Linked DNA regions of Pelodiscus sinensis. The protein of the gene in region 1 interacts with the protein of each later gene in a biochemical or structural test. Links are inferred from orthologs where the notes say so. Each region holds a gene or a part of one and is shown on either strand. Other genes may lie near its edges. The genes, in order: RASA1 and DOK1.

Region 1 (15,875 bases):
TCTGGACATGGTTATTTAAATTTTACTAATCACTTCTCTTGCCATAGAAAAGAAGTTTCCCTGAATGGTATCAAATCTTGTCTCAAGGATACTATAAATGAATTGCTCCTACAAAAGGGCAATGCAAAACCCAGGAAATGAGCCACAGACATAGAAAACTTGAGTTTTTCTAATATGTTTTAAAAACAAGTCAGGACCCTAAAAGAACAAATTTAAGATCATTGTCCGGATTTTTGAGGACAAAAACAACTTGTTAGCCAAGAATTCCTGGACTCAGGGCCAATACAATAGAACAAAAAGAAACTTTCTCCCATTGATTCAGCTATTAATAGAGTCAATTAATAGCTAAATCAATAAAAGTACAGTTTTCTAGCCAGATTATCTAACTGCACAATTCCTTATTCTAAAAAAATACCAAGCTGAAGCTTTTAGGATGCTCTCAAGGCATGATCACACAAAGAAGTTGTATTACTTTAACTATATAGTTAAAGTTGCACAATCTGTCCCAGTTTGGATGCAGTTATACAGCTGTAATGGTGCTTTGTACCAATATTGCTATCCCATACATAATAGGTTATTCCTCTTCCTATAAGCATAGCTAAACTAAAGAGTTTACAACATCACAGCTACATCTCTAATATAGCCACTCTAAACCAAGTGCGAAAATCTATTAACTCTCCTGAGCAACATAACTGTAGTGCAGACGAGTCACCTTTATATATAAAACTGCACCCACACCAGGGGAGTGAACGAATATAACTTTTTCAATTTAAAAGGAGATACAGTAGAACTTCAGAGTTAAAAACATATCAGGATTGGAAGTTATTCATAACTCAAACATTCTTAACTCTGAGCAAAACACTACAGTTGTTCTTTCAAAAGCTTACAATCAAACACTGACTTAATACAGGTTTGAAACTTTACTATGCAGAAGAAAAATGATGCTTTGACCACCTTAATTTAAAAACAAAACATGCAGAGAAACAGATTCCTCGACTTTTCCCTTTTGTTTTTTAAACATTTAACAGAGCTGCAGTGCATTTTTTGGGGGAGCTGTCTGCTGCTGGCTGACCGCATATTTCTGGTTCCAAATGAGGTGTGTGACTGACCAGTCAGTTCCTAACTCTGGTATTTATAACTCTGAAGTTCTACTGTAGTTTACAAAAGTACCCCAGACTGCATGTTGAGTTAAGGAATCAACGGCCCACAGGCCTCATCTTTCATCCAGTCCATGGCAAGTATCCATGCTGTAGGCTGGAAACCCTGAGCCTTGGTGATATGCCCTGGGGGGGAACAGAGCCAAAAGCCTCAGCTCACACTGGTGCATGGGGAAGCTAGGATTGCCAAGCAGGTAACAACCCAGACAGCTCAGCCCTCTTACCAGAAGTGGCTGGCATATTCCTACAGCCCCTACATGCAGAGGCAATCAGGGAAACTATGTGTGTGCTGTTTCTGAAGCACTCATTGGCTGGGAACCACAGCCAATGGGAGCTGCCCAGGTGGTACCTGTGGGGTGAGCAAAGTGCATCGCACAGAGCCACATGGTCGTGCCTTTGCCTAGGGGCCAGATTTGCCCTCTGCTTCCAGGATCCATGCAGAGCCAAGGCAGGGAGGGAACTTTCTGTGGCTGTGCTGCCAATTGGACCCAGAGCCCGCTGCACCAGGTTGGAAATTCCTCTCCCACCCCACCTCCTTTCCACAGCCCACACCTCCCTCACCCAGCCCTGGGCCTGCTCCTGCACCCCAAACCCTTTGGCTCCTACCTGGAGCTCCCTCCTACACCCAAACCCCTCCTTCCCAGTCTCACCCCAGAGTCTGTGATTGCCAGCTCACCCCACTGTGGGGGAAAGCCCCAAGCTTTTGCAACCCCTTGTAGGGCCTATGCTTTATTTTTTTTTTATGGGTCAATTGTCTCTGATAGAAAAAAGATTCCTGGCCCCTACTGTATGTACACCAGGCCTCAAAAGCTGCTGAAACTAACAAGCTGCCAAAAGTAAGATAAGAGAAACAACTCTAAGCCCTCTTTGGAAACTGATTAAAGCAATCTGACTTCTTAGCCATTGATGGACTTGTGGCTGGATACATCCAGAACTCTCTAGCAACAGCCTTCTACAGTGTAACCATATTCTAGGGAGGAAACTACACTACAAAAGTTTAAGAAACGTCCTAAATTGGAAGCAACAATTTAAATTATTCTTTGTGTAGACAAGTGATGTGCAACCTGTGGCCCACTGGGATTATATGGCCTGCGAGACATTTTGCTTACCATTGCTCACAAGCAGAGTTGCCAGCCTCTGCTGGTTTCCGTCTGCGTAGTTTTTCCCCCTACTGCTATTACTAAAGTGGCACACACGTAAAGAAAGTGCACATGAAGTGTGCTGATTGCACGCAACATTGACAGAGAGCTACTTGTTTGGATGCAGAGAGAGAGAAGTGCTGTCACAGTTCTATCAGCACACTCTGCAAATCCTAGGTTCTCAAGTACAGTTAGCAAAACTACCCTATCCAGGGAATCCATCTTCATTACAACAATCTTGTGGCCCACCGAGGTGAAAGCCCACTTGCTGGTCTAGATTGCTTATCACTGGTGTAGAGTTAGTTGTCTAAAATACATACTAAATACAATGGAAGAGATTACAATTTATATAGAAAATACAAGATAATATAAAAATCGAGACAAGTGCTCATGCTTTGGAGCATAAATCGATGTATTAATTAACAGGCCTAAGAAAGAATACCTGGTGAAAAACAGAGTCCTTTTCTCCCCAAGAGCCTGGGAGCGGGTGAGAAAAAGAGAAAATGCATGATACGCTGGGCTTCTCATCTACATGGCTAACGGAATTCATTCTCCAGCAATTGTATTCAGCTCTTGCTTATGCATTATATAGGGATAATCTTCAAAAATAACATTTAAAAAATACAGAACATATAATCTAATTATCTATTTATTTTTAGATCAATAATTGCATTCTTCTGCTGTTAAATAAATTTGCAGGTTTTTGGTTAAAGAACAATCATTTATCTGTTTACCACATCATTTTGCTAAAGAGAAGGAAGATAAACTTTACACACTAAAAAGAGATAAATTGCATTTATTCTATCTATTTCTATTGCTATGCAGAAAAAAAACCCCATATATGCCATTAAGACTATTTCCTGGAACTTGCATTGAATACTCCTGCATACATAAATATAATTACCAAAAAGGTGATTTTATGCCCTAATTTTTTTAGATGTATGGACACCAGTCATTCTTCTCCTGTAGAACTGCAGGTGTGTGCTCACTAGCTTTCTCTCTCTCTCCTTTCTAACCCTTGTTGCTGAGACAGACATAAGTGTTGGTAGATGTTACTTATCATTACACTTATTTGAAGAAACTTATACTTCACACTAAAATCAGATATAATAATGTTTCACTTCCACTTACATTTTTGTTTAATATTCCCCCACCTACTACAGTCTCTGGCTTTAGCTATTTTCTTCACTGTCTTTCGTCATTTAATATTCTGTCTCAACAGGTAACAAAAATGGTAGCAAAGCTTTATCAATTTGGGATATGTTTTGAACACATTACAGTACAACAAGCAATTTTACTTTATAAAGCTTCTGGCGCTCTGTTCAAATTCAACACAAGCATCTTATGAAAATCATCATTCATAGAAAGTAAAAATATCTTTGGCAAATACTGGAACTTCTGCTGCTGCCACTACCACCTTTAAAACAGTATTAAACTTAGAAGAATTTTGTCAGCTTAATAACTGCTATACCAGTACAAAACTGACCAAATATTTGTAAACTCAATTGTACTGCTACAGAAAGCTTCTTTACATGTTGGAGAAGGACGCCAGGAGGAGGTGGTGGCAGCAGCACCAGGGAAGTAGCCAGTTCTGCAGCAAAACGGTGAAAAACAACACTCACACTTGCTTTCTGAGAGTTTATCATACCATGAAATTGACCAAATTCTTGGGATTTAACTCATGCTACATCGACACCATTTACAGCAGCGCCAATTCCACTGTGCCACTATCACACTTGTGATGAAGATGTAAGTAGGAGCTGGTGCTTGCAGGGAGCCAGCTTTTAAGCCAGCTCTCCATAAGCACCTGCCTCTCACCTTCCTTCCCCTCCCCCCTGGGAAGGGGAGGCTTGAATGTAATGGTGAAGGTTTGCGTGTAATCACCCAGGCTCATTGGTTAACCATTTAAGTGCTTAAACTATCACAGCCCTAATTCAAACCCCTAACACAACCATTCCAAAAACAGTATGTTTTTACAGTAAAAAAGGCAATTTTGTCTAGCAGACAGGACACCAAACGGGATGTCAGAAATCTAGATTCCCTACCAGTGATTTACTGTGTGACCTTCGATAATTCACTCATCTTTCTGTGCCTCTATTTACCATCTCACCCTTTGTCTGCTCAATTTAGTTTTTTTTTAAATCGTTTTGTGACCAGGACTGTCTCACTATGTGCTTTTACAGTTCCTAGAACAATGAGATCCTGATGTTTAGGAACTGTTACAATAAAGTCATTAAATAGATACATACATATTTACATCCATCCATCACTGAAAAGACTGATAAAATTAAATTGTGTGAAAAATATGGTTTATATTAAACTCTACACCCTCCTTCTTATATAATAGTTATGCCTGTGTACTTATGCAAAAATCATCCTGAATCCTGGAAAAAGAAAGACACTAGAACTCATGAGGTTTAACTAGTAATAGCTCAGATATTAAAAGATGTCAAAAAAAAAACTGTCAAGACAACATTAGAACATTCTTGGATAAACATTACTAGCAACAATCTGTAATGTAAATTCATAGCTATTTTTACGCCTTATAGCCCTAATTTATCTGAAATATAAAACTTCATTTTAACTTAGTTAATGCTTGATTTCTAAATACCAACTTAAAACACAATTTTGTTTCTGGGACAATAATCAGACACACTTGAGTGCAATTTTCTTTCCTACCATAAACCTTGAAACTGTATTATGTAAACCCTTACACACCTTACTAGTGTTATTAGTGCATCTCAACTTCTCGTATCTATATTTATCAGTAATTGTACACACAAATGCTGCACAGCATCAGCTCTATAATATATATAAAATACAACAATTGTCCTGCATAACAGCTTTAAGTTTTCCTGTAATACTATCAACAAGGGAATGCTTATTAAGTTAATGGAAAGACAATCATAAAGAAACCTTACTGTAAAACACCTACCAATGCTTTGACTCAATTCCCATTAATTTTCACACAATCCAACTGAACACAAACACCTTTAAAATCAGCTGTACACCATGCTATTAAATTCATTGTTTATGGAAATTAAATAGCATTAAAATTATTGGGTAAGACATTTTATCAATTTTTTTAAAGTACAATCTATAAAATGTTATTCCACGCAGTACGCATATGAAAGCTTTAAGTTTCAGAAAGTCTAAAGACGGCTTAATTTTCCTACCAAGAATCATAAAAATCATATCTATATTTGACAATAGCTACTTACTATTATGTTTTGGAAGAGTATGAAAATGGATAACGATGTCAAAAATTGATAAAGTTTCCAAAGGGAAAATTTAATAATCTGAGCTTTCCACTCCTTTTGTGACACTATTTACCATGTGAAAATCCACAGTAGTAAGTACTGAAAACCCAAAAAACTAAATTAGATAGGTAGTGTTTAAGTCTGACTGTTTTCTCTAAATCCCTGAAGGATTTCTTTGTTCATTTTAAACATGGGACTATAAAAATAAAAGATTTTATGTTTTTATGGTTCTGTGGTACTTGGAGGAAATGGAAACTGCAAGGCACACAAGGGACCCTCGAAGAGTACACATACATACACCGATCAGTAATATATGACTCAGCAGTAGGTGACAGACAAGACACACACTAGCATCCAGTATTCCCTGTAAACCGAGCTCTTGGGGGGCAACACAGGAAAGATTCATGTGCCACCCAACTGATTAGCAGAGTACTCACAGCTGGCAGCATGTTTTTCTACTGGTGATGCACAACTGCACATAAAGTTTATTCTGCACACAGATGGAACACATTAGAGGGAATACTGCAGGCATTTAATGCTGCTTGGAGCCCAGTAGCGTTTCAAATTTTCCAGTGCCCTGGTTGTCTCTAAGCCTCGGATTGTCAAATACTGGGACTGGACAGAGGGGATGGATTGCTACAACTGTCCTATTCTCTTCATTCCCTCTTGAAGCATCTGACACTGGACCCGATATGGCCATTCTTATGTGCGTTAGTCCATGCAAGTCAAGCGCACGCTGTTGCAATTGGTGGCTCTGCTGTCCAGTCTGAGGATCCACCCCAGACGGAAACACAGACCAAGGAGCCCTCAGTGCCAATACTTCAGCACTTTCCATGCAAGCAACTGAGTCTATTTAAATGGGATCTCGGGGGCGGGGGCAAACCTTTCAGGGCCTGGCCGGAGTTTGACACACACTTTCCACCGGGCAAAGGGGAGGGACGGGAGCTAGAGTCGCCACCGAGCCGGCTGCCGCCCCCCACGGAGGGGCAGCAAAGCAGGGCGGCCGGGAGCAGAGGGGGCTGCTACTCACTGGTTAGTCGGGGGCGCGTTGAGCGGGATGGCCACCTCCTCCTCTTCGTACTCCGGCCCGTCCAGCGAGTCGCCTTCATCCACGGTGCCCAGCCCCCCGACCAGCGGCAGCGGCGGGGGCGGCAGCGGCGGGAAGCCCCCAGCGGGCGGCCCGCCTGTTGAGCCGGGTTCCTGCGGGGCAAGCGCCCCCCGAGGCATCTCCTGCCCCTGCCCGGCGGCCACTGCGGCGCCTCCGCCCGCCGGAGGGGCAGGCCCCAGGACCAGGAGTCCCAGCGCCGGGCACAAAGGGGGGCCGCTGCCGCCCGGGCTGCCCCCGCCGGAGCCCTGCGGCCCCTTGCCCCGGCACAGGGCAGGGCAGTGCCCCGGCTCCCCGGCGGCGCTCGCCGAGCCGCCCTCCTCGCCTCCGGCCTCGGCCGCCATCATGGTGAGCCTCGCCCCCTCCGCACGCCGGGGAGGAGGCGACCGAGGGGCCGAGACCCCCCGCCCCGCCCCAGCGGGGAGCGGAGCCGGGACCGGGACGAGCGAACTTCCCCGGCGGCGGCCGCGAACAATACCCGGCTGGGCGGGGGCTGGATTCAGGGCAGCGCGGCAGGGCCCCGGAGCGGCTGCCTCATCGCCCTGCGGCCGGGAGGGGAGCGGCTCCCGCGGAGACTCACCCCGCCCGCCCGCAGCGAGCGCAGCTTCGGCACGGGCAGGGGCCAGGCTGGGCTGGGGGAGGCAGGGGAACTGGCGAGCGGCTCCCGCCACAGTGCGCATGCGCCCGGGGACCGCCCGCCGCGAGGAGGGGGTTGGCTGAGCCCGCGCGCGCTCCCGCGGTTCCTGCCGCCGGCTCTGACTCAGGGAGCGGCCGGGCTCAGAGCTGGGTTCACCTGGAGCTTTGCAAGGGCCGCGCGTGGGTGGGAAAGGAAGAGCTGAAGCTACCAAGAATATGAGCACAGGGGCGGGTTGCAGTGTCAAAGAAGAGAGCAAGCCCAGCGCACCGCCCACACCCTGACTGTTCCCAACCCACCAATTTACAGTGCCTAAATAAAGAACGTTTGGCGCCAGGCCGATTGCATCTCACACCGGTACTGCGATCTTTCCCCCCAACCCCCTCGCCATAGCACTTCAGAACAACTGGCTGGGGTCCTGTTGGATTCACTTGCCAGATGTATGTTTTTGCAGCGCCTTTGCACTAGCATACCCTGCGATCCCGATTAGTCTCTTGAACTAAGAAAAGCTGCAGATGCATCAAGCAAAACTGGGGGCATTCAAACCATAAACAGATGTAGCCCAAATCCTGAAATCCAGGGAGAGGTTTTTTTGTACTGCTTTTTTTGTTCTAGGACGTGGGGTACAGATTTTGTTAGATTGTGTTGTTTGATCTATTTTATTTGTGAACTAGTAGAATCAACACACTTGTCTTGTTTTGATGGTATTCTGAGTTTGTGGGTTAAATTTAACTGAACCTGATAGGAATCAGGAATCTTTTTTTCTAATGCTTTTAAAGCAGGGGAGGAGCACTGCACTTTCCATTTCTATGCTGTTATGTCCACACTTGTGCCTCTGACCCACACTCAGTACTTACCAGAAGTACTTACAAGTGACCTGGCTTGGTGATGCAGAACCTATTATCCAGAGAAAATAACTTACATTTCTTACAGATACTGACTCATATGGCTTATAGACTTTAAGGTCAGAAGGGACCATTATGATAATCTAGTCTGACCCCCTGCACAGTGCAGGCCACAGAATCTCACCCACCCCTCTTAGAATAATCCTCTCACCTATGTCTCAAATATTGAAGCCTTCAAATACTTTGAAGGCCCCAATATGCAGAGAATCCTCCAGCTGTGATCTGTGCCCCATGCTACAGAGGAAGGCGAAAAACCTCCAGGGTCTCTGCCAATCTACCCTGGAGGAAAATTCCTTCCCGACCCCAAATATGGCGATCAGCTAAACCCTGAGCATGTGGGCAAGACTCACCAGCCAGACACCCAGAAAGTTCTCTATAGTAACTTATCATAGTGTCATATTACAATCCTTCCCCTTGGGGGCCTGAGCTCAGGACAGGGGATGGTGGTGGTACCACACCACCTGTAGGAAATGTAAGTGTGGGATGGAGTGCAGGAGGCTCAGGTCAGAGGGTTGACATGTGGGAGGTGCAGGAGTCATAGTTGGGGTGAATGAGGGGCTCAGGGCACAAGATTAGGGAATGGAAGTGCAGAAATCAGGGCAGAAAGCTGGCAGGGAGGGAGGTTCGGTGCAGGGGCTGGGATGTGTGTGTGTGTAGGCTCAGTGATGAGGCAGTCCCCACTGGTGACTGTGCACTATGCTGCTCCTGTTCCCAGCCAAATTGGAGCAGTGTTGGGCATCGGAAGGAGATAAGGCTGAGTAGAGTGCTGAAGCTCCCCTGGGATCCTGGCCCAGCACCTGGAGTCCAGGCCACTTGGTGTGTCTCCCCCTACCACTGGTCCTGTCACCCTCACCAGGGGATTTCCAGGCCGCTGGCCCTGCACCCCTCTCACTAGGGGCACTCTAGCCACCGGCCCTGCTGCCAAGCAGCTCTCTGATCTCTGCTGTCCCCCTCCTGGGGGCTCTTCTGGCTTCTAGCCCCAGGGTCCCTGCTGCCAGCTTCAACTTTGGGTGTGGGGGGGAGGGGAGAAAAGGATTAAGGCCCAACCCTCCGCTCAACACTTTCTTACTGGCACGCTGCACTAGAGCACATCTGCTTACTTTCACCTCTGCCTACTATATGTGTACATAGGTTTGGTGGATGGGGATCCAAAGTCATATACCTAAGCTAATGCAGTGCTTGTTGTGCACCAATATGAGAAGAGGGAGTGAGGTTCGAACTCACAAGCCAGCCTCACTTAACATTGGAAATGATCTTTTTTTTTTAATGAAATGTAATTTGTTTTGTAAACCTATCCATATGTGAAAGTATATCTCTTGCTGCTAAAGATTTACCTCTTGTTATTGAAAGCCCTCCAGCGGTAGGTAAGTGATAGCGGAAGCAGGTATAGGATACAACTGGAACCATCTAGCCACAAACATGCACATAGATGGCCTCGATGTGATGATCATCTGTCTGCTGAAAAGGAACAGCAGCAGCTCCCATACCCTGCCTAGGTGACAAAGCAACCCTATTTAGGGACAGAGCTGCTTTCTTCAAAAGAAGAGGGGGAGAGAAAACAATTCCTAACCACAGCTTGTTCCAGTGGATTCCTGTCGGTTAGCCAGGACCGAATGATATCCAATTTTGCAATCACAGGAGAAAATCAATGACTAAACAGACACTACACTTTGCCTCATGGAATATATGCATACTTCTTGACAGTGATGATCACCATGAACACAGGACAGCAATCATTGGTAGAGAGCTTGTACATTATAACATCGATGTCACAGCCTTAAGCAAAATACATCTTGTATCAGCCAGTTCACAGAGGTTGAAAAGATTCCTCAGTGAGCTAATGATTCACAGCTGGTTATACCTCCAACTCTTGATGAGGTACAGAAAGCTGTCAAGCAGATGAAATCTGGAAAAGCACCCGGCAGTGATGTGCTCCCATCAGAGATTTATAAAGCTGGTAGAGGCCTGCTGATGCCATCTCACCCATTTATTTATCACTATTTGGCAGAAAGAGCAAGGCCCCCAGGACTTCAAAGATGCCTTGATTGTACAAATATACAAGAGAAAAGGTGACCGTGCCTGCTGTGATATCCTCCAGGGCATCTCACTGCTGTCTATAGATGTTATGATCCTGGCCCGCATCCTCTACAACCATCTGTCATTACATGTGTTCACAAATGGCATTATTCCTGAAAGTCAGTGTGGATATTGTGCCAGTCAAGGCACTGCCAACATGATATTCACAGTCAAGCAGATCTAAGAAGACAGCAACATCATAATCTCTTAGTGATTTTCATTTACCTGACCAAGGCGTTTGACATGGCCAACACAAATGGATTTTGAAAGGTACTTGGGCAAATTGGCTGTCCTGAAAAATTTGTCAGTATAATTTGGTCCTTTTATGATGTTATGCTGGGTCATATCCTTAATAATGGATAGACATCAGCACCTTTTGAAATATAACATGGCACAAAGCAAGGATCTTGCTCCTCTCCTTCCCAGCTCCTCTCCTTCCCAGCATCCTTGCTCCTCTCCTTCCCAGCATCTACTTTTTGATTATGCTATTAGTTGCTTTCAAGGATTGCACGTTGGGCATACCTATGCAGTTCCTAACTGACAGAAGCATGTTCAGCTTTGAAAGACTTCAGGCACCAAAGATACCAAAGTGTTCAATTCAACTATCTGTGACCTTCTTTCTGATGACTGTGGATTGTTGGCTCATCCAGTGGAGAACTCACAGGAGATTTTGATCCTTTTGTTACTTCTGCTCACCATTTTGGACTCACTGTGAGACTCCAAAAGATTGAGATTATGTCTCAGTGTCTCTTCAGAAAGAGCCCAGCCCTCCTACGATCACTGCTGCTGATACTGTCCTTAGGTTGTTGACAAGTTTTGTTAGCCTGGAAGCATACCATTCTCCAGCATTAATGCTGCTGCTGATGTATCTGTTCAACTAGCCAAAACCAGCGCTGCCTTCAGAAGATTGACCAACTGATTATGGAATGGCCATGGTGTTAAAATTCATACAAAGGTAACAGTTTATCAGGCAGTTGTCCTGAACTTCCTGATGTATGGCTCAGAGTCATAGATCATACATAGCTATCACATTTTGAAACTTGATCAATTTCTTATGCGCAGTTTCAGGAAGATTGTCCATGTGAATTGGTGGGACGAAATTCCTAACACAGAGGTCCTTAAGCTGTGTGGTGCCATGGGCTGCATTGCTGAGGTTATGAGGATGGATGATACATACATACCAAAAATAATCTTCTACGGCCAGCTTGTTCACGGAAAGTGCTCTATTGGTGGTCAATATAAGCATTATAAAGGCCAACATGAAGTCATGTGGCATATCTCCCAATGACCTAGAAATCATAGCTCAGGAAGATTGTTCTGGTAGCAAACTATTGTACAGGGTCTCAAACACTTCGAGAATCAATGTATCCAGACATTACAAGAAAAGTGTAGGATCCAAAAAGAGTGTATAATGCCCTCAGATGGTGGATTTTTATGTGACATCTGTAATCGTATTTGCTAATTGAGGATTGGCTTGATCACTCACCAGCAACATCATAGATTGCCCATGTGAATTGGTCGATCAACGTCTCAGTCCATGCATGTGCTCCATTGAGAAATCTACCCTTGCTAATTCACCTATCTTTTTTATGGCATAAAGATATGCAGATGAAATAGCAGTAAAACATAATGTACAGAACCCAGATACAATATATTTGTTTGGCTATTATGACATAAACAGTGCAATGTTTTTAGAGTTGCATGAACTCCTTTTCTTGTTAGTAATAATTTATTCCTATGTACCTTTATGAAAATATATCCTTTTCTATTATTATTATTATTATCTTGACTCAAGCATTTATTCCTGTTCTTAACAACATGGCTATTAGTTGTTTCACTGACTTCTATGAGACTAGTCATCTACACTCAGTTAAGCACATATGTTGAACAGGATCTTTGTGTTTAACAATGCCAGGCAAATAACCTTTTGACTTGCAAAATTAAAATAGCTGACAACTACTAGCACTTTTGTCTCTCTGTTTCTACTTTTTCTCTAGGCTGTTATGTCTTTGTACACTCCCTTGTTTATGTTGGTATATCTCAAATGTTCTCAGAAGGCATTTAAATATTTAGGTTTTCAAAGCTTTGTCGTCCCTAGAAGCATTACATTTCAGAGGGGTAGCTGAGTGAGTCTGTAACAGGAAAAAACTTAAAAACAACAAAAAGTCTAGTAGCACTTTAAAGACTGAAAAAAACATGGAGATGGTATCGTGAGCTTTAAGGTGCTACTAGACTTTCAGAAGTAGTAAGTTAATTTTTCCAGAGGCCACCAAAACAAACATATGTTCATACTCCTACTTCTAGTTTTTTAGAATTTTCATACCTTTCCTTCTGTATGCTCTGAGTTTTACCACTAAAATCAATGGTGTTACTCTGGATTGGCACCAGCATCAATGAAAACAGAATTTGTCCTTAGTTAAAAGGATTATAGCACATTTATACGCTGCTGTTTGTTGTATTTGAAAAAGTGCAGCCTTGATGGCAATATTTTACACATCTGATTTCCAGACATGATTCATTATTAAACATGTAATTCCAGATACTCCTGCAGCTGACTGTCTGTGTGAACTTCTGTTTACTGTTTATTTTTCCTCACAGATTTTCAAATACAATTATTTTAATGCCTTGTTGTTGCCTTTGTAGGAGAGATAAGCACATTAATGCAACAAAAATATATACAGGATTCCCTTCTTTGAGACAACCATTTCTAATACCGTAGAACTATATAAGGCCAGAGTTGCACATACTGGTGTACAGGAGCTGCAATGGCAACTGAGCAGAGGAGAGAGCAGCTACATCCCTCCTTCATGGGTTTTGTGTGGGGAAGACAGCTATGTATTCTGACCAGGGCTTCACAAGAGATGAGATGCTGTCTGTGAGATTTGTTAATACATGCGTCTCAGAGACTGCCAATTCTGCCCTCTCCCAGGCTAAGGATGTAAAATATCGACTCATTGACTAATCGAATACTCGATGCATTTTGCATCGACTGTTCGATTAGTCGATAGAGCTCCCCACGGTGTTCCAAAGCAGTGGCACCTCATGGAGCCCGGGATCAGCTGGGGACTCCACATGGTGCTGCCTCTTTGAAATGCCACAAGAAACTGGATGCCTGGGGACACCCCAGCTGGCCCCGTGCTGCACACAGTGTTTCAAAGCGGCAGCGCCACATAGAGCCTGGGGTCTGGCCCCAGGCTTCAAGCGGTGCTGCCACTTTCAAGTACCCCTTTCTCTTCCCTCCTTGCTGTCTCTTTCTGATAGAGGCAGCAAGATGGGGGGAGGAGGGACCGACTAGTCAACTATGCTGTCGACTATCTGATAAGCATTTGCTTATTTGATAGTCGATTAGTCCTTCGCATCCCTATAGCAGGCCAGACCTAAATGTTTGGTAGGTTGTGCTAATTGTTCCATCTCCTTTGACAAAACAGGGATTGAAGCTGGCTTGCACCACTGTGCTGCTGTTTCAGGTGGATTTTCCACTGCAGGTTGAACCTCTCGTCCTGTACTCTCAGGACCTCACTGATGCTGAACCACAGGATTTGCTGAATCCTGGCTGTTTAATATTGTCTAGCAGCATTACCAACACTTCCACTGCTTACTGGACTTTTAGCAGATAGTTAGGGGTAAATTAGAGCTAAATAACAGCACAGAACATGGAGAGCCAGGCCTGGTGGCTGTAAACAAACTTTATGGGACTGCAGGAAACTTGGCCAAACCCATATTAAGTAGATATGCAGCTAATTATAGACCAGAGAATGCCGGACTAGAGAGGTTCAACCTATACTTTTATCTTGATTCCATTACATAAATTTTCACAGGGACAAGGACAGGAATCATCTATATTAAATATATCTGGACCAAAAAAGAAGTGGTGCTTGTTGCCAGCCTGATGTTTACAAAAAAATGCTTTTTTACTTAATAATCTGGACAAAATTATATTAGGACTATTCAGCCCCCTCTCCTTGTATTGTCATGGATGATGAACATTAGATTAATTGATGAGTGAGACCAGCTATGGGGTCAGTTTCTTGTAGCTTTTGCATTATTTTTCAACAGTGTGGGGGAGGAGGAGGAAATGCTGTAGACTAAATATATAGGCGTTTTTGTCCAGGAATGTCTAGTGCATTCAGTGTATTCTAAACTTGGTCATACTGTAATTTCACAACACAGCAGAAATTAGATAAAGTATAAATTTGCTATCATTCCAGTTTCAATATGTTTTACCTATGTCTACTCATTTCCAACATGTTTTAGTTGTATTTGGTCAATCTTTGGGGCAGAGCAAAACATTTTCATACTGAACATGATGAATGTTTTATATTTGCCATATAAAATATATTTAGCAAAGTAATGAATGCTCCCATTACTGGCCTCCATTATGAATCTTTTTAATTACTACTTCAGGTAACAAAATTGTGATTATGCAAAATTAATGAAACAGCTTTATATTATTGTATATATAATACCAATAGTATGTTAAGCTCTTTACAGACAGAAAGAAAATAGTGTCCCTACTGCACAGAGTTTCCAGTCTAAAGGTACGTCTTGTAGAATGAAATCCACAGATAAATTTCAGTGTCTTTAGGGAACTCCATTGAATTAAATTGTCCAGTCTGACAACATTTCCAGAGACTGTAGTTTATATAGGCTTCTTATACGGTAATAATATAGTATTTGGGGATGATATATGAAGAATAGAGAAGAGTAATAGCATGCCCTGTAGAACATGCTATGAGTTTTAATTCTGGTTCTGTCACTGACTGATACGACCTTGGGTAAGTCACTTAACCCATTTCAGTTTCTACAGTTATACACAAGAATAAGATTACCTTTCTATTTTACAGTGCTGTTGGGAGGATTATTTAAATCACGCAATATCAAAGGTGGCTAAGTATTGTTACTATTCTGATAGATTATACAGCCAGAAAGGAACATTATGATAATCTAATCTGATTTTCAACATAACAGAGGCCATAGAACTTCCCTGAATGAATTCCTGTTTGAACTAAAGTATGTCTGAGAAAAATATTCAGTCTTTATTTAAAAGTACCAGAGATGTAGACACCATCAGAAGTCTTGGGAAATGGTTCCCAATAGTTAATTACTTTCAGTACTACTATTTTGCACCTTATTTCTGGTCTGAATTTTTCCAGTTTCTGTTTCCAGCCATTTGGTCTTGTTATACCTTTATCTGTTAAACTGAAGAGCTAATTGTAAGATTTTTGTTCCCCATGTAGATCTTTCTAAACTGTGATTTTTATTATTTCATAATAATATGAAAAGCACTGGGAGGTGAAAAACTCAGTATTTGATTCAGATGTTATTTCTTAAGATGTTACCTAATATTTGGATCCCTAAATGTAAGCATTCCCATTCAGTCACAGGGAGTTCTACTCCTCTGTTTAACAGCCTCAAAACTCCTTTCCTATCTCAGAGCCTGCAGCACCCCTACATTTCCAATGTTATTGTTCACTCTCAAGTTTCTCTCAGACCCACAGAACACCCAGAAGGATAGCAAGAGAATTTTCAAACCACTGCAGGGCTGTGACGTCCATGCATTAGTGACTACAGGCGATCCCCAATTTACGACCTCCCACAA
Region 2 (16,477 bases), on another chromosome or scaffold:
CCGGGCCGCGGTCCAGGCTGCCTGAGGGGGCGGGGGGGTGTTCTTTTGCCAGCCCACAGGGAGGACTCAGGGCTGTGGGAGTCACTTCAGCCTGGGGCAGGTGCCGTGGGAAGGCTGGATGAGCGGCAGGCCGCAGCCTTGGCTCAGCTCCGGTGAAGATTTCTGGCTGGAGGGGAAGCAGCTGGGGCCTGGGGCAGCTCCAGGCCCTGGGGGCCACCTGGCAGAGGGTACGGAGGGGGCATCCAGATGGGCAGCTGGGCCCAAACCTCCATGCAACAGGCGTCTGGCTGGCACTGCCCTGCCATGCAGAGAGGAAGCATCATGCTGCCTGGCACGTGGGGCTCCCCAGGGACCCGCACTCCAGAGGGCTGCAGGCTCCCTCCCCACCAGGAGAGCGGGGGGCGAGGGGACCAGCCCCACCCCGAGGCACTAGGTCTCCTGTAGCCCCACCCACAACAGCCCTGGTGCCACGCTGGCCAGCAGCAGCACAGTCCTGGGGGGAGCTGTGGCGTCCCCGGCATGGCCTACAGTCCTGAGGGGTGAGCAAGGCGGATTGGAGGGGCAGAGCCCTCGCACACAGGGCTGTCCCAGCAGGGGTCACTGGGGCCGTGAGCCCTCGCCAGCCTGGCTGTGCGGACGGGAGGCGGGGGGGAAGGCCCAGCCCCTCGCCCGTGGCACTCACCGAAAAGGCGATTTCACACAACTTGTCCACCCACTCGGCGCTCTGCTCCCTCTCGGCGGCAAACAGGAAGCTGCGGTCGCTGGTCTCCAGGCGGAAGACGGCCGTGCTGTCCTTGGGGCCGGCCTCTGGCACGGGCGCCACGCTGACGCAGTCCGCCAGCCGGATGATCTTCTTGTCCAGCCGCCGGGTGCTGAGCTTCTCGGCCGGGGCGCCGGGGTCCTTGCAGTCATAGAACTCCAGGCGGGCGACCCCATGCTGGCTGGCCGGGTACAGCACAAACCAGTTCTTCTTCCATCTCTGCAAGGGCAGCCCGGCAGGGTCAGCACAGCGGCCTTCACTCCCGGCCAGCCCCAAGGGTCTGTGAGCCCCTGCCCGGGTAGCGCCCCCCTTCCCTTCCGGCACTCGGGCCACGGGGAGAGCCCCGCAGGGTCAGCACAGCGGCCTCCACTCCCGGCCAGCCCCAAGGGTCTGTGAGCCCCTGCCCGGGTAGCGCCCCCCTTCCCTTCCGGCACTCGGGCCACGGGGAGAGCCCCGCAGGGTCAGCACAGCGGCCTCCACTCCCGGCCAGCCCCAAGGGTCTGTGAGCCCCTGCCCAGGTAGCGCCCCCCTTCCCTTCCGGCACTCGGGCCACGGGGAGAGCCCCGCAGGGTCAGCACAGCGGCCTCCACTCCCGGCCAGCCCCAAGGGTCTGTGAGCCCCTGCCCGGGTAGCGCCCCCCTTCCCTTCCGGCACTCGGGCCACGGGGAGAGCCCCGCAGGGTCAGCACAGCGGCCTCCACTCCCGGCCAGCCCCAAGGGTCTGTGAGCCCCTGCCCGGGTAGCGCCCCCCTTCCCTTCCGGCACTCGGGCCACGGGGAGGGCCCCGCACAAGCAGCCCCTGTGGAGCCCGGCAGGGTTCAGTCTCTGCTCCGCCAGAGACAGAGCCGAGTGCTCAGACTCGCTCGGCCCGGCTGCCAGGAGCTGTAGGCCCACGGGCAGCAGCGTTTCCTTGGCCCCACCAGCCGGTCCCCAGCCAGCCACGGACCAGCCGAGCAGGAGCCAGAGGCCTCAGCTCTGGGGAGGCTTTTTCAGAGACAGACCAAGCAAAAGCACAAGAGTCAGACTGGGCTGACAGGGGCAGGTGGGGCACGGGCAATGGGGGGAGGGGCAGATGGGGGCTGGCGGGGCATGGGAGGGGGGCAGGGGCAGGCAGTGACACTGGGGCCCAGGCCTGCACTGCCTGCCCATGGTCAGTGAGGTCCAAGCCAGCTGGTGCAGCATGAACTGGAGCGCAGTCTGGGGAGGCTCAGCTGGGGCTGGGCCTGCAGGATCCAGCTCGCCCTTTGCAGCTCTGCCCACCCCCATGTGCCCAGCCTGCTCAGAGGCGAGGGCCATGCAAGTCATCAGCCCACAGATCTCCCCCCAGGATGCCACACACCCTGGCTCCTTGGACTCGCTCCTTGCCTAGCCCAGCAGGCTCCAGGAGGATCATAGAATCCTAGAACCATAGAGCTGGAAGAGACCTCAGGAGTCATCAAGTCCAGCCCCCTGCGCTAGGCAGGACCAATCCCAACTAAATCAACCCAGCCAGGGCTTTGTCAAGCCGAGACTTAAACACCTCTAGGGATGGAGACTCCACTGCTTCCCTAGGGAACCCATTCCAGTGCTTCACCACCCTCCTAGGGAAAGAGTTTTTCCTAATATCCAACCTGAACCTCTCCCACCACAACTTGAGCCCATTGCTCCTTGTTCTGCCATCTGTCACCACTGAGAACAGCCTCTCTCCATCCTCTTTGGAACCTCCCTTCAGGAAGTTGAAGGCTGCTCTCAAATCCCCCCTCACTCTTCGCTTCTGCAGACTAAACAGACCCAACTCTCTCAGCCTCTCCTCATAGGTCATATGCTCCAGCCCCCTCATCATTTTGGTTGTCCTCCGCTGGACCCTCTCCATTGCGCCCACATCCTTTTTGTAGTGGGGGCGCAGAACTGGACACAATACTCCAGATGTGGCCTCACCAAAGCTGAATAAAGGGGAATAATCACTTCTCTAGATCTGCTGGCAATGCTCCTCCTAATGGACCCTAATATGCCATTAGCCTTCTTGGCTACAAGGACACACTGTTGACTCATATCTAGCTTCTCATCCACTGTAACCCCCAGGCCCTTTTCTACAGAACTACCACTTAACTGGTTGGCCCCCAGCCTGTACCAATGCTTGGGATTCTTCCGTCCCAAGTGCAGGACTCTGCATTTGTCCTTGTTGATGGCAGAGCCGAGGGGCCACCCTGATCTAAGTGACCTCAGAGAAGCCAACCCCGCCCTGGGGCAAGGAGGGATACGTGCCCAGCAGCCTGTGCCCCACAACTCTGGCTGCTCAGAAGCTCCCTTTCCCCCTCCCATGCGGGCAGGGTCTCCGGGTATGTGCAGCTCACTATGCCCCACATGTGCCCTTCCTCCTGCCCCCTCCCCTGCTTCCTCAGCGATCCCTGCTGCTGACTCTCAGGACAGGAAGAGGAAGTGTCTGTGTCCTCACTTGCTTCCTGTATTAATACCAAACTTCCCCAAATCACCAGGCACCAAGCTAGAGGGCTGGGGGAGGGGCAGGGGAGATTAAACCCAGGCAAGCCAGAGCCCCCACCCGCACCATGCAGCTGGTCACAGCTGCAGCTGCCCAGCCTGGGGAGGGAGAAGCGGCTCGGGTGCTGGGCAGGTCCTGCACAGTCCGGGCATGGCGATGGGGAGCCAGTTGCACCCCAGGCTGCTGTGTCTGGCCACCCCACAGGCTCTGGGGCTCATGCGCCTGTTCCTGCTGCCTCAGACAGGCCCTGCCCCAGGAATTGGGGTACTTGAGCCAACAGTCCCTACAGTGGCCCCTGCAACAGGCAGGGGTATCACAGGCAGAACCTGCTATGGGGATTCCCCATTGCTCCAACCTGCCCCCTTTGCTCCCAGGGGGCCTGCGCTTATAGGGCACAAACCAGCAGGGCCTCCTGACCCTTGCTCCCTGCGGCCCAGGGCAAAAGGGGAGAGCTCTGGGTTAGCAGACATGGATCGCGACACGACTATGCAGTGCTGGATCAGAGCAGTGGGCCCCCCACCCTCTTGCCTCTGACCATGGCCGGATGCTTCAGGAGCGAACAGGCAACGGTGGAGTGACCCAGTTCCGGTCAGTGCCCGCTCCTGGCAGGGGGACACCCACCCACGGCACTTTTGTTCCCACCAGTCCCTGGTTGCGAGAGGCCTTCCCCCTCCCCAGGGCCCTCCACGTTCCTTAAAGAGCCGGGGGGGGGGGGGGCTGCCCTGGCTCACGCTCGCTGACTCCCTCAGAGAATCCCGGTGGGCTGGTGAGACCCACCTTGCCGTGCAGTAGCCAGGCTGGCTCTGCACGCTACCTGCGTCCTAATTCCCTGCTTAACCGCAGCTCCACGCCTCGCGCTGGCGCTGGCTGACTCAGAACTCGGCATCTGAGGGCGTGGGCGGCGCCCACGAAAGCTCATGATCCCAGCGATGTTTTGTGAGTCTCTAAAGCGCCACCAGACCACTTGTGTTTTTCTGCAACTGCCCAGAGCGTCCCTGGAGCCCTCGAAAACGGACGTCGCCCATTCAAAGGGGGCTACAAAGCGCAGCTTTAGTCCTGCCCTTTCACACCTGGGCCCTCCAGCACTGTCGGGCGTGTAGCTTCAGGTGCAGGCAACTGGTTCCTGTTTAATGTACTGAGCTGCTCCCAAACCTCACGCTGGGACAGCTCCTCAGACTTGTCCCCAAACGAGAGTGGCTCCAGTTGGAGGATCTCCAGCTCCTCCCTTGAGTGCTCCTCAAGCGCACTGCCCATTCACCAGCCCCAGCGCCCCTTGGCCAGCACGGGCAGCCCTGCCCGGGGCTACGCGACCCAGAGCGCGGGGGCAGAGACAAGGCCTGAGCTGGCATAACTGGCCACGTGTCGGGACAGAGCTACCCCAGCCCGTCTGAGAACTGGCCCAATCTGAGTTACCTGCTTTGGTTCCCTTCGTGCTTCCAGGGGGGCCAGAGCCCACGCAGTTGCTGGCCGTTTGGGGTCAGGCTGTTCTCCCCTGCCCCTCCACTCCGCCTGGGGGATTCCCTGTGACAGCCTCCCCAGTGCCATGGTGCAGTCACACAGAACACTCAGCCCCGCGGCTGCAGGCAGGTACCCCCTGCCTGGCGGCTCAGCTCATCCAACGCGCGCCCCAGAGCCCCCGCACAGCAGACAAGCAGCCTCCCCTCGGGCTGGCAGCCGCGCCAACAGGGTTACAGGAAACAGCAGAGAGGAGGAGCTGCCAGGTCCAACCGCGGCTGCCCCCTGCCATCCAGGCCAGGAGGCGATTTCCTCCTGCCCCTGGTGTGGCCTCTGCAGCTCCGCGAGCCCAGCTCAGTGCCGGGGCGTCTCACACGGGCTCAGCCTGGCACCACTACCAGGGTGGGCAGTCCTCCCGCTGCACCAGAGCCATGGGGACACCCAGGGGGACCATCCCCCAAGCAGACTCAGCTCCAGGGGTCACGGGCTCTTGGCTAAGCCAGCAGGGGAGCAGCGCTGCCCAGTGAGGGATGGGCCAGGGACATGTACTCGCCAGGTAGCCCAGACCCTGCCCTGTGCTGGGCCCTGCCGCTGGCTGATGGGCACTTTCCCCGCTCTCTCCTGGGGGCAGGCAGGGCAGCAGCCCCAGGGCTGGACTCGCAGGGGGCACAGAGGCAGGTGTCTGGGGCCACATGCTGCCATGGGCCAAGGCATTACCAGAGCCACAGCTCCCCCAGTGACCCTGAGAAGAGGGAGCAAAAGCCTCTCTCCTCTCTGGGGCAGCCCTCAATATCCATCCCCAACACCAGCAGGCCCTGCCCTCCCCAAGGGCCTGGCTAGGGCAGGGCAGTGCCAGGTCCCCGCCAGCAGATCCCAGCACAGCTCAGCCCCACAAAGAAGCCGGACCCCCCAGAAGCTGCTCCTGTAGGGCGTGGCATGGACCTCAGGAGGCCTCCGCTCCCCACTGGGAAGGGCAGCAGCTGCCAAGAAGGAGAGCAGGGAGCACATGGGCAGCAGGCAATATACTGCCCAGAGACCCACCCCATGCTCCCGCTGGATGGGAAGGCTGGTCCAGGGCTGGGGGGGAACCAGCAGCCATAATGGAGGACATTGTGCCAGCAGCCGGGGGGTAAACTAGGGGGGTTAGAGCTGGACTCCGGGGCCCCGTTCCGGGCGGGGCGGGGGGGTTGTGCCAGCTGCGGGGGGGGGGGGGGGGCAGCCTAGGGGTTAGAGCCGGACTCCTGGGTCCTGTTCCGGGCGGGGCGGGGGGGTTGTGCCAGCTGCGGGGGGGGGGGGGGGGCAGCCTAGGGGTTAGAGCCGGACTCCTGGGTCCTGTTCCGGGCGGGGCGGGGGGGTTGTGCCAGCTGCGGGGGGGGGGGGCAGCCTAGGGGTTAGAGCCGGACTCCTGGGTCATGTTCCGGGCGGGGCGGGGGGGTTGTGCCAGCTGCGGGGGGGGGGCAGCCTAGGGGTTAGAGCCGGACTCCTGGGTCCTGTTCCCGGGGGGGCGGGGGGTTGTGCCAGCTGCGGGTGGGGCAGCCTAGGGGTTAGAGCCGGACTCCTGGGTCCTGTTCCCGGGGGGTTGTGCCAGCTGCGGGGGGGGGGGGGGGCAGCCTAGGGGATAGAGCCGGACTCCTGGGTCCTGTTCTCAGGGGGGGTTGTGCCAGCTGCGGGGGGGGGGGGGGGGCAGCCTAGGGATTAGAGCCGGACTCCTGGGTCCTGTTCCCGGGGGGGGGGGTTGTGCCAGCTGCGGGGGGGGGGGGGCAGCCTAGGGGTTAGAGCCGGACTCCTGGGTCCTGTTCCCGGGGGGTTGTGCCAGCTGCAGGGGGGGGCAGCCTAGGGGTTAGAGCCGGACTCCTGGGTCCTGTTCCCGGGGGGTTGTGCCAGCTGCAGGGGGGGGCAGCCTAGGGGTTAGAGCCGGACTCCTGGGTCCTGTTCCCGGAGGGGCGGGGGGTTGTGCCAGCTGCGGGGGGGGGGGGGGCAGCCTAGGGGTTAGAGCCGGACTCCTGGGTCCTGTTCCCGGGAGGGCGGGGGGTTGTGCCAGCTGCGGGGTGGGGCAGCCTAGGGGTTAGAGCCGGACTCCTGGGTCCTGTTCCTGGGAGGGCGGGGGGTTGTGCCAGCTGCGGGGTGGGGCAGCCTAGGGGTTAGAGCCGGACTCCTGGGTCCTGTTCCCGGGGGGGGGGGGGGGGTTGTGCCAGCTGCGGGGTGGGGCAGCCTAGGGGTTAGAGCCGGACTCCTGGGTCCTGTTCCCGGGAGGGCGGGGGGTTGTGCCAGCTGCGGGGTGGGGCAGCCTAGGGGTTAGAGCCGGACTCCTGGGTCCTGTTCCCGGGGGGGCGGGGGGGTTATGCCAGCTGCGGGGTGGGGCAGCCTAGGGGTTAGAGCCGGACTCCTGGGTCCTGTTCCCGGAGGGGGGGGTTGTGCCAGCTGCGGGGGGGGGGGGCAGCCTAGGGGTGAGAGCCGGACTCCTGGGTCCTGTTCCCGGAGGGGGGGGTTGTGCCAGCTGCGGGGGGGGGGCAGCCTAGGGGTGAGAGCCGGGCTCCTGATCCCAGGGAGGGGGGCGGACCCCAAAGACGCGGGCTCCGGAGCCAGCTGCAAAGGGGGCGCCCGGGGGCGGAGGGTCGGACCCGCCCCGGCCCCGATCCCGGCCCCCGCGCCCGCCGACCTTGGCCCCGAACTTGTGGCCCTGCTGCACGTAGAGCCGCCCCTCCTTGGCCGCGGGGTCCATCGGGCGGCCCGGCCCGGCACCCTCCGGCCGCCGCTTCCTGCTGCGCTGCCTGGCCTGGGGCGGGGCAGCCCACGGGCCGGGGTGTGACGGCGGGGCGGGGCGGGGCGAACGGAAGGGGGCGGGGCCGGGATGGGGGGGGCGGGGCGGGGGCTGCTCGCTGTCCCGGGCTGCCGGCGGGGCGGCCCATCACCCTGGCATCGGAGCGCTGCGAGCCCGCAGCCAAGCCCAAGCGCCTGCAGGCCCCGCCCCGCTCCGGGCTCAGCAGGGGCTTAAGTTGCGCTCCCGGGGGGCGGGAGCGTCCTTCCGACCCCCGCCCGCTTTGCTCGCCCGCAGAAAGGCCGCTGTGCCCGGGGCGGGCCCTGCTCAGCCTGGCGCTACGGGCTGGTTTTCTCACGACGGGGCGTTTGTCCCATTTGCTCGGCCAGGTGATCAGCTGGCGAGAGAAAACAGGGCACCAGCGCGGCGCCGTGGGGGGCAGGGCCATGGCCGTCTCTGGGGGGCAAAGACACAAGGCTCAGGCAGGGTCTTAGGACCTGGGGTCCCCATGTGGGGGGCAGGCAGGGTCCCAGCGACCCCAGCCTCGTGTGGGGGGCAGGCAGGGTCTTAGGACCTGGGGTCCCCGTGTGGGGGGGCAGGCAGGGTCCCAGCGACCCCAGCCTCGTGTGGGGGGGCAGGCAGGGTCCCAGCGACCCCAGCCTCGTGGGGGGGGGGGGGGCAGGCAGGGTCCCAGCGACCCCAGCCTCGTGGGGGGGGCAGGCAGGGTCCCAGCGACCCCAGCCTCGTGGGGGGGGGGCAAGCAGGGTCCCAGCGACCCCAGCCTCGTGGGGGGGGGCAGGCAGGGTCCCAGCGACCCCAGCCTCGTGGGGGGGGCAGGCAGGGTCTTAGGACCTGGGGTCCCCGTGTGGGGGGGCAGGCAGGGTCCCAGCGACCCCAGCCTCGTGTGGGGGGGCAGGCAGGGTCCCAGCGACCCCAGCCTCGTGGGGGGGGGGGCAGGCAGGGTCCCAGCGACCCCAGCCTCGTGGGGGGGGGCAGGCAGGGTCCCAGCGACCCCAGCCTCGTGGGGGGGGGGCAGGCAGGGTCCCAGCGACCCCAGCCTCGTGGGGGGGGGCAGGCAGGGTCCCAGCGACCCCAGCCTCGTGGGGGGGGGGGCAGGCAGAGTCCCAGCGACCCCAGCCTGGGATGGGGTTGGGAGGATCAGGCCACCATGGTGTCCTGTTTTCCCTTTGGGAGCCATGCTCACACCAGTTAGGGCAGGGAGCTGCCGAGTTTCCACTGTGCTGAAGTCTGGCCTCTGTCTCAGTGAGGTGGGGGTCTGATCTCCCTTGCTGAGGAACCTACCTGCTTAGATGGGCTAGTTCTGTAGAAGAGACCAGTGCTCAGGCCAGTCTGTTTTATTGGCCCAAGGAGAGACAAGTGTTCAAGCTACACAGCGCGGGCTGCAGGGCAGTGGCTCCAAAGCTCACCTCTCTCCCCAAGAGTTTATGAATGGGTTGGCTGGAGCCGGCATCAGAGAGGCTGGGAACCACCCCTGCTTTAACAATCTCGACTCTGAGCCTTTCCTTTTATTAATGACCCTTTAAATTGTAGAAGGCAGGCCCAGCGGGCTCTTTGGGTACGGGCCAAGGTAGAAATTGGCCTGGGACTGGCCGTTTTGGGGCAGGAACTCGGTAGTGCAGACATAGCCGAAGGCTCTCCAGTACCAGTGGTGTTTTAAGTTTTGTCAGTTACAGACCAGCGCGCAGGCCGGGACAAAGAGTGTGCGGGGCCCAAGGCAGCACGCTGAGCCACAGGGCTCCCAGCCAGCTGTGTGCTGGGAGCTGGGCAGCGCGGGGCCCTGAATGCGCTGGCCAAGGTGACCGCCTCACTCATAGACTCATAGACTCATAGACTTTAAGGTCAGAAGGGACCATTACGATCATCTAGTCTGACCCCCTGCACAGTGCAGGCCACAGAATCTCGCCCACCCCTCTTAGAATAATCCTCTCACCTATGTCTCAGATATTGAAGCCTTCAAATACTTTGAAGGCCCCAACATGCAGAGAGTCCTTCAGCTGTGATCTGTGCCCAATGCTACAGAGGAAGGCGAAAAACCTCCAGGGCCTCTGCCAATCTACCCTGGAGGAAAATTCCTTCCCGACCCCAAATATGGCGATCAGCTAAACCCTGAGCATGTGGGCAAGACTCACCAGCCAGACACCCAGAAAGTTCCCTATAATGAATGGTCAATTAGTTACCAAGATCATGTTATTTCATCCAACCATCCCCTTATCATAGAATCATAGAACTGGAAGAGACCTCAGAAGGTCGTCAAGTCCAGCCCTCCGCTCTAGGCAGGACCAATCCCAACTAAATCAACCCGGCCAGGGCTTTGTCAAGTCGAGACTTAAACACCTCTAGGGATGGAGACTCCACTACTTCCCTAGGGAACCCATTCCAGTGCTTCACTACCCTCCTAGTGAAATAGGTTTTCCTAATATCCAATCTGGACCTCTCCCACCACAACTTGAGACCATTGCTCCTTGTTCTGCCATCTGTCACTACTGAGACGCCTGCCTGAGACACTTGTGTGACTTCTTGCTGGCCAGGGTGGCAGACAGAAGTGCTCGGTGTGATGGGTGGGGGGCCTTATAACGGACGACCCCCAATCTTGGGCTCTGAGTAGCCCCAGTTCTGAGCGATTCACGTCAGGTGACTCTCTCAGCATTTGCTCGGGACACCACAGACCAGACAAGTCGGGGCAGAGCAGGCAAAGATGCTCAAGTCTTTAATCGAGCTGCAGCCTGAGCAGATCTGGGGCTGACCACGGCAACACATGTACAATTCGTCATCCAGCCAGCCCCACTGCAGACCAACACCTTCCTGTTCACCCTCTGGGGCCCTCAGCCTCCCTTCACTTCACCCCTCCCAGAACTCTGACCATGACGCTTCCATCTACACACAGTTGTGAGGTTTCACCCTTCCCAGGCCTCCCTTGCCAGCAGCTGTGGGCTTGGGAGCGCGTCACTGTCCGGGGCTTGATCAATGAGGCAAGATTGAAAAACGGTAACGAGTTTCCATTGGCGTCCCACGTTCACACAGCTTTCATTTCGGTCCCAGGCACAGGCTGTGGAAGCGTTTTCTTGCCCCGCCTGCCCGTGTCCCCATCGCCGCCATCCCGCGCCCCTCCTGCCCCTGCCCCTGCCCCTGCCCCTGCCCCCATCCCGCGCCCCTCCTGCCCCTGCCCCTGCCCCCATCGCCCCTATCCCGCGCCCCTCCTGCCCCTGCCCCCATCGCCCCTATCCTGCGCCCCTCCTGCCCCTGCCCCCATCGCCCCCATCCCGCGCCCCTCCTGCCCCTGTCCCCATCGCCCCCATCCCGCGCCCCTCCTGCCCCTGTCCCCATCACCCCCATCCCGCGCCCCTCCTGCCCCTGTCCCCATCACCCCCATCCCGCGCCCCTCCTGCCCCTGCCCCCATCGCCGCCATCCCGCGCCCCTCCTGCCCCTGTCCCCATCACCCCCATCCCGCGCCCCTCCTGCCCCTGTCCCCATCGCCCCCATCCCGCGCCCCTCCTGCCCCTGTCCAAATCGCCGCCATCCCGCGCCCCTCCTGCCCCTGTCCCCATCACCCCCATCCCGCGCCCCTCCTGCCCCTGCCCCCATCGCCCCCATCCCGCGCCCCTCCTGCCCCTGCCCCCATCGCCCCCATCCCGCGCCCCTCCTGCCCCTGACCCCATCGCCCCCATCCCGCGCCCCTCCTGCCCCTGTCCCCATCACCCCCATCCCGCGCCCCTCCTGCCCCTGACCCCATCGCCCCCATCCCGCGCCCCTCCTGCCCCTGACCCCATCGCCCCCATCCCGCGCCCCTCCTGCCCCGACCCCATCGCCCCCATCCCGCGCCCCTCCTGCCCCTGTCCCCATCACCCCCATCCCGCGCCCCTCCTGCCCCTGTCCCCATCGCCCCCATCCCGCGCCCCTCCTGCCCCTGACCCCATCGCCCCCATCCCGCGCCCCTCCTGCCCCTGCCCCCATCGCCCCCATCCCGCGCCCCTCCTGCCCCTGTCCCCATCGCCCCTATCCCGCGCCCCTCCTGCCCCTGCCCCCATCGCCCCTATCCCGCGCCCCTCCTGCCCCTGTCCCCATCGCCCCCATCCCGCGCCCCTCCTGCCCCTGCCCCCATAGCCTCCATTTCGCGCCCCACCTACCCCTGCCCCCATCACCCTCATCCCACGCTCTGCCTACCACTGCCCCCATCCCGTGCCCCTCCTGCCCCTGCCCCCATCACCCCCATACCATGCTCTGCCTACCACTGCCCCCATCCCGCGCCCCACCTGCTCCTGGCCCCATCGCCTCCATTCCGCGCCCCGCCTGCTCCTGCCCCCATCCCACGCCCCGCCTGCTCCTGCCCCCATCATCCCCATCCCATGCTCTGCCTACCACTGCCCCATCCCGCGCCCCGCCTGCTCCTGCCCCCATCGCCCCATCCCGTGCCCATCCTGCCCCTGCACCCATCGCCCCCATTCCATGCTCTGCCTACCACTGCCCCCATCCCGTGCCCCACCTGGTCCTGCCCCCATCGCCTTCATTCTGCTCCCCGCCTGCCCCTGCCTCCATCCCATTCCCTTCCTGCCCCTGCTCCCATCGCCCCATCCCACGCTCTGCCTGCCTCCATCTCATGCCCCACCTGCCCCTGCCCCCATTGCCCCTGTTACATGGGATGCATCAAGGAAGCAACTTCCCAAGAAATACGTTAGTGCACCTTAATGGCCAAGTGCTTCCTCAAAGCCTCCTGCTGTTAATAGCAACCCTCTCCCTGCATCTGGCTGCTCAAATACTGCAGCCATCTCACCCTTAGGGACTCCCAGGCAGTGTGCAATGCACAGCACGAGGCTAGATCCCGGGGGCATTACCCTCAGCAAGGTCTAGCCTGCCTCATTCCACCCCCACCAGCCCCTGCTCGGCTTGTTGCTCCAGTGCTGCTCACCGCTACCCAGCTGCCTGGTAAGGGAGAAGCTGGGCCACCCATGATTCCCGAGGCATTTCCACAGCCCCCTTGTAATCCCGTGCTCTGGAAAGAAAGTCCCTGCTGGCAGCTTTCTGGTGCTCCTGGAGATGCGGGTGCCATGCACTGATGCCTGTGAAACCCCAGGGCGATCCACAAGCACTGCCTGCACCATGGAGAAACCTCCCTTCCTGCAGATGCTGCCTGTGGCAAGGCGGCCTGGTGCTAAAATTGGAATGTGTGCGCCATCTCCCACCCCCTAGTTAGGGAGCCATGGGCATCGCCGCCAGATATAGCCCCACCCCCCAGAACACTTGCTGTAGGGCCAGGCTGCCACCGGCTGCTGAGTATGGGGGCTGGCCTGACCCCAGCTAGTCCCCCAGGCTGCATTGCCCAGGGAAGGGCCCTGGGGCAGGGAGTGGAATGGGGCAAAGCAGGAATGGGAAGGGGGGTTGTCCCGGCACTGCACTGCACCCCTGTAGGGATGGCCCTGATGAGCACAGACCAGGAGTGGGGGGCATGGCCAGGCATGGGCCGTCAGTGAAGGTAGCACTGGGGGAGGCACACCCCCACTCCCGCCCCCAGCCCTGTCTCCTGTCACTCCCCCTCGGCCAGTGGTCGCTCTGCAGGGCCCTGCCTCAGTAACTCACAAAAGCCTTGTGCAAGCCAATAGCAGCCCTCCCTAGGGGCAGGCTGGGCTACTCCTTGTACCCCTTGTCAGCTCGCTCCCCACACCAGGGCTCTCTGATGGTGCCCTCAGGCCAAGCAGAGATACCCCTCCCCCCCAGCTCCCCTCAATGGAGGCCTGGCCTCCTGAGGTCTAGCGGGTCCCATGTAGCCCAGTAGCAATCAGCCCAGTCCCCAGGGAGTGCTGAACTGCAATATGCTGTGCAGCCACGAGGTGGCGCTGCATGTCGGAGTTTATCAGCGCGCCCCTCCCCTCCCCTCTCCTCCCCCGCCCACCTGGCAGGGGATGCAGGGTCCCAGGATGGACCCACCGAGGATGCAGCATCGCCGGGACCAGCCCCTGGCTGCTGCAGGAACATGGCCTGGACTGTCAGGACGGATGCTTGGGCTCTCTCATGCTAAGGCAGCGTCTCCTTGCTCCCTCCCTCTTGCAGCCGGGAGGCGGGTGCTAGTGCAGCACCCAGGGGACGGAGACTGTCGAGCAGCTGCGAGCCCTCAGGCACGAAGTGCAGCACCCAGGTTGTGCAGCGTGGCAGACAAGTGGTTCCTGCCTGGGTGTCTGTGGGCTGCTCTTGTAGCTGCAGACCCAGCCCTGAGCCTCCTTCCCACCCCCCCAGAGCCCCAGGTAGCAGCCAAAGTGCCAGACACCCACCCATTGTGGGGCACGGGGTCAGCCCTGGCTGTAGGGGCGGTGCCCGCCCTGCTGTGTGCAGCACAGCGCCCCCTAGCGCCGTATGGGAGCACGGCGCCCGCCCTGCTGTGTGCAGCACAGCGCCCCCTAGCGCCGCACGGGGGCACTGGGCCAGCCCTGCTGTGTGCAGCACAGCGCCCCCTAGCGCCGCACGGGGGCACGGCGCCCGCCCTGCTGTGTGCAGCACAGCGCCCCCTAGCGCCGTATGGGAGCACTGGGCCAGCCCTGCTGTGTGCAGCACAGCGCCCCCTAGCGCCGCACGGGGGCACTGGGCCAGCCCTGCTGTGTGCAGCACAGCGCCCCCTAGCGCCGCACGGGGGCACTGGGCCAGCCCTGCTGTGTGCAGCACAGCGCCCCCTAGCGCCGCACGGGGGCACTGGGCCAGCCCTGCTGTGTGCAGCACAGCGCCCCCTAGCACCGCACGGGGGCACGGCGCCCGCCCTGCTGTGTGCAGCACAGTGCCCCCTAGCGCCGCACGGGAGCACTGGGCAAGCCCTGCTGTGTGCAGCACAGCGCCCCCTAGCGCCGCACGGGGGCACTGGGCCAGCCCTGCTGTGTGCAGCACAACGCCCCCTAGCACCGCACGGGGGCACGGCGCCCGCCCTGCTGTGTGCAGCACAGCGCCCCCTAGCGCCGCACGGGGGCACTGGGCCAGCCCTGCTGTGTGCAGCACAGCGCCCCCTAGCGCCGCACGGGGGCACTGGGCCAGCCCTGCTGTGTGCAGCACAGCGCCCCCTAGCGCCGCACGGGGCCATTGGGCCAGCCCTGCTCTGTGCAGCACAGCGCCCCCTAGCGCCGCACGGGGGCACTGGGCCAGCCCTGCTGTGTGCAGCACAGCGCCCCCTAGCACCGCACGGGGCCATTGGGCCAGCCCTGCTGTGTGCAGCACAGCGCCCCCTAGCGCCGCACGGGGGCACTGGGCCAGCCCTGCTGTGTGCAGCACAGCGCCCCCTAGCGCCGCACGGGGGCACTGGGCCAGCCCTGCTCTGTGCAGCACAGCGCCCCCTAGCGCCGTACGGGGGCACGGCGCCCGCCGTGCGCTCACACACGCGCACAGCGCCGGTAGTGCCCTGCACACACACGCGCTGTGATCAGAGACAGAGCGCAGCCATATGAGCAAAGCCTGGAGGCTCCGAGTGGGTTTAATTTGGAAGGGAGGAGATGAGGGGACCTGGCGGAGGACTGCGCACAGGACTGGATAAGAGGCCGAGGTTCGCCAGTGAGAACGGCGGGAGAGTGGAGCGGTTCCGTGGGAGGCTGTGCTCGAGGAGGCAGGAGCTATCTGTCCTGGATGGGTCAGACAGCAAACCCTGCAGCGTGGCCAGAGCTAACCTAGCTGACTCTGTTGGCCCCGGCCGGCCAGCGGCTCTGTGAGGAAGACCAAGGAAAGCCTAGGGCCATAGCAGAAAGTGCAGCCAGTTAAATTCCTTTGTTGGCTTCCATTTTCACTCCGCAGGCTAGCAGGGATCAGACAATTCACACAGTGAGCATCAGAGTAAATGGGGCTGGGGCGAAACTAGGGAAAGACTAAAATCAATGACCTCGGAGCAGGTCTCCACTCCACTCCATTGGCACATCTGTAGCTCTTACAGCAAAGTACAAACTAACTCTAAAACTTCCTATTTCGGGCAAGCCTCCAAGCCAGGGAAGATTTTTCTCCATGGGGTCTCTGGCTCCGTTTGGATGTGTCGTGCCAGCCAAAGACACAGGGACAGATAGCTTCCCTTTGTCTTGTAGGTTACACTTTGGGTGGGAACCTGCTATCCTTGCTCCCCCTTCCATAGAAAATGACCTGGTCAGACCCTGTCTTCCTGCGACCAACCACTGCTTAGACTAGGGGTGGGTAAGAGAGTTTCCATGGGCGAGATCCAGCCTGCCAAGCGGATTGATCTGGCCCACAGGCACCCTGCCACTCCCCCGCCCCGAGGCCAATCAGGACCACCAGAACAGCTGGCAATTCTCTTCGGTGGGGGGGGGAGCAAAGACTTCACATGCTCCCCCACCCTGAGCCACTCAGGGTCTGTGGGTAGGGGAGCAAGAAAGTGTCCTGGCTCCGCCTCTTCTGTCCAAAGCCCCACCCCTCCATGGCAGCCTGGGGCCACTTCAAAAATTTGTGAAGTGCCCCCCCCATCAAAAATTATTGCCCACCCCAACTTAGACTTAAAGGCCAAAGAAGGACATTCTCAGGTCGTTACGTTGTCGCTGAGGTGTTGGAAACACCCTGGATGGCTTTCATTTTCACATTTAAAACCATAAGCAATTCTATACCCCTTAGCTCTAACTTTGCATGTAAGAATGATACAAGCGCCAAAATAGGATCTACAGCAGACTGCCACATTAAACTTGATCGATTCCTTGAGCTATTTTATCCAAAGTGTCTTCAAGCTATGCCTATTGGTAGTCATGGTCATTTGCTACCGCCTGGGGGGACTGTCATGCTGGTCCCCCAACAGATGGGCTGTGTCTAGACTGGCAAGTTTTTCCGCAAAAGCACTTGCTTTTGCGGAAAAACTTGCCAGCTGTCTACAATAGCCGCTTGAATTTGCTCAAGAACACTGATGATCTAATGTAAGATTGTCAGTGTTCTTGCGCAAATACTATGCTGCTCCCGTTCGGGGAAAAAGCCCTTTTGCGCAAATGTATTTGTGCAAGAGGGCCAGTGTAGACAGCTGAAAAGTGTTTTGCGCAAAAAAGCCCCGATGGTG

Evidence for each region.
Region 2: the proteins of RASA1 (region 1) and DOK1 form a complex in vitro, tested with the Homo sapiens proteins (2 studies listed by BioGRID, with this or other methods). The link is inferred for Pelodiscus sinensis from reciprocal best matches to the Homo sapiens genes RASA1 and DOK1.

What each region holds. Positions count from the first base shown.
Region 1 is NC_134716.1:76,464,111-76,479,985, forward strand, and holds the start of RASA1 (ras GTPase-activating protein 1), read right to left. Parts: upstream 7,443-15,875; 5' UTR 7,342-7,442; coding exon 6,587-7,341; intron 1-6,586. UniProt on the Homo sapiens protein: Inhibitory regulator of the Ras-cyclic AMP pathway. Stimulates the GTPase of normal but not oncogenic Ras p21; this stimulation may be further increased in the presence of NCK1.
Region 2 is NW_027465889.1:330,172-346,648, forward strand, and holds the start of DOK1 (docking protein 1), read right to left. Parts: upstream 7,511-16,477; 5' UTR 7,416-7,510; coding exon 7,353-7,415; intron 980-7,352; coding exon 683-979; intron 1-682. UniProt on the Homo sapiens protein: DOK proteins are enzymatically inert adaptor or scaffolding proteins. They provide a docking platform for the assembly of multimolecular signaling complexes. DOK1 appears to be a negative regulator of the insulin signaling pathway.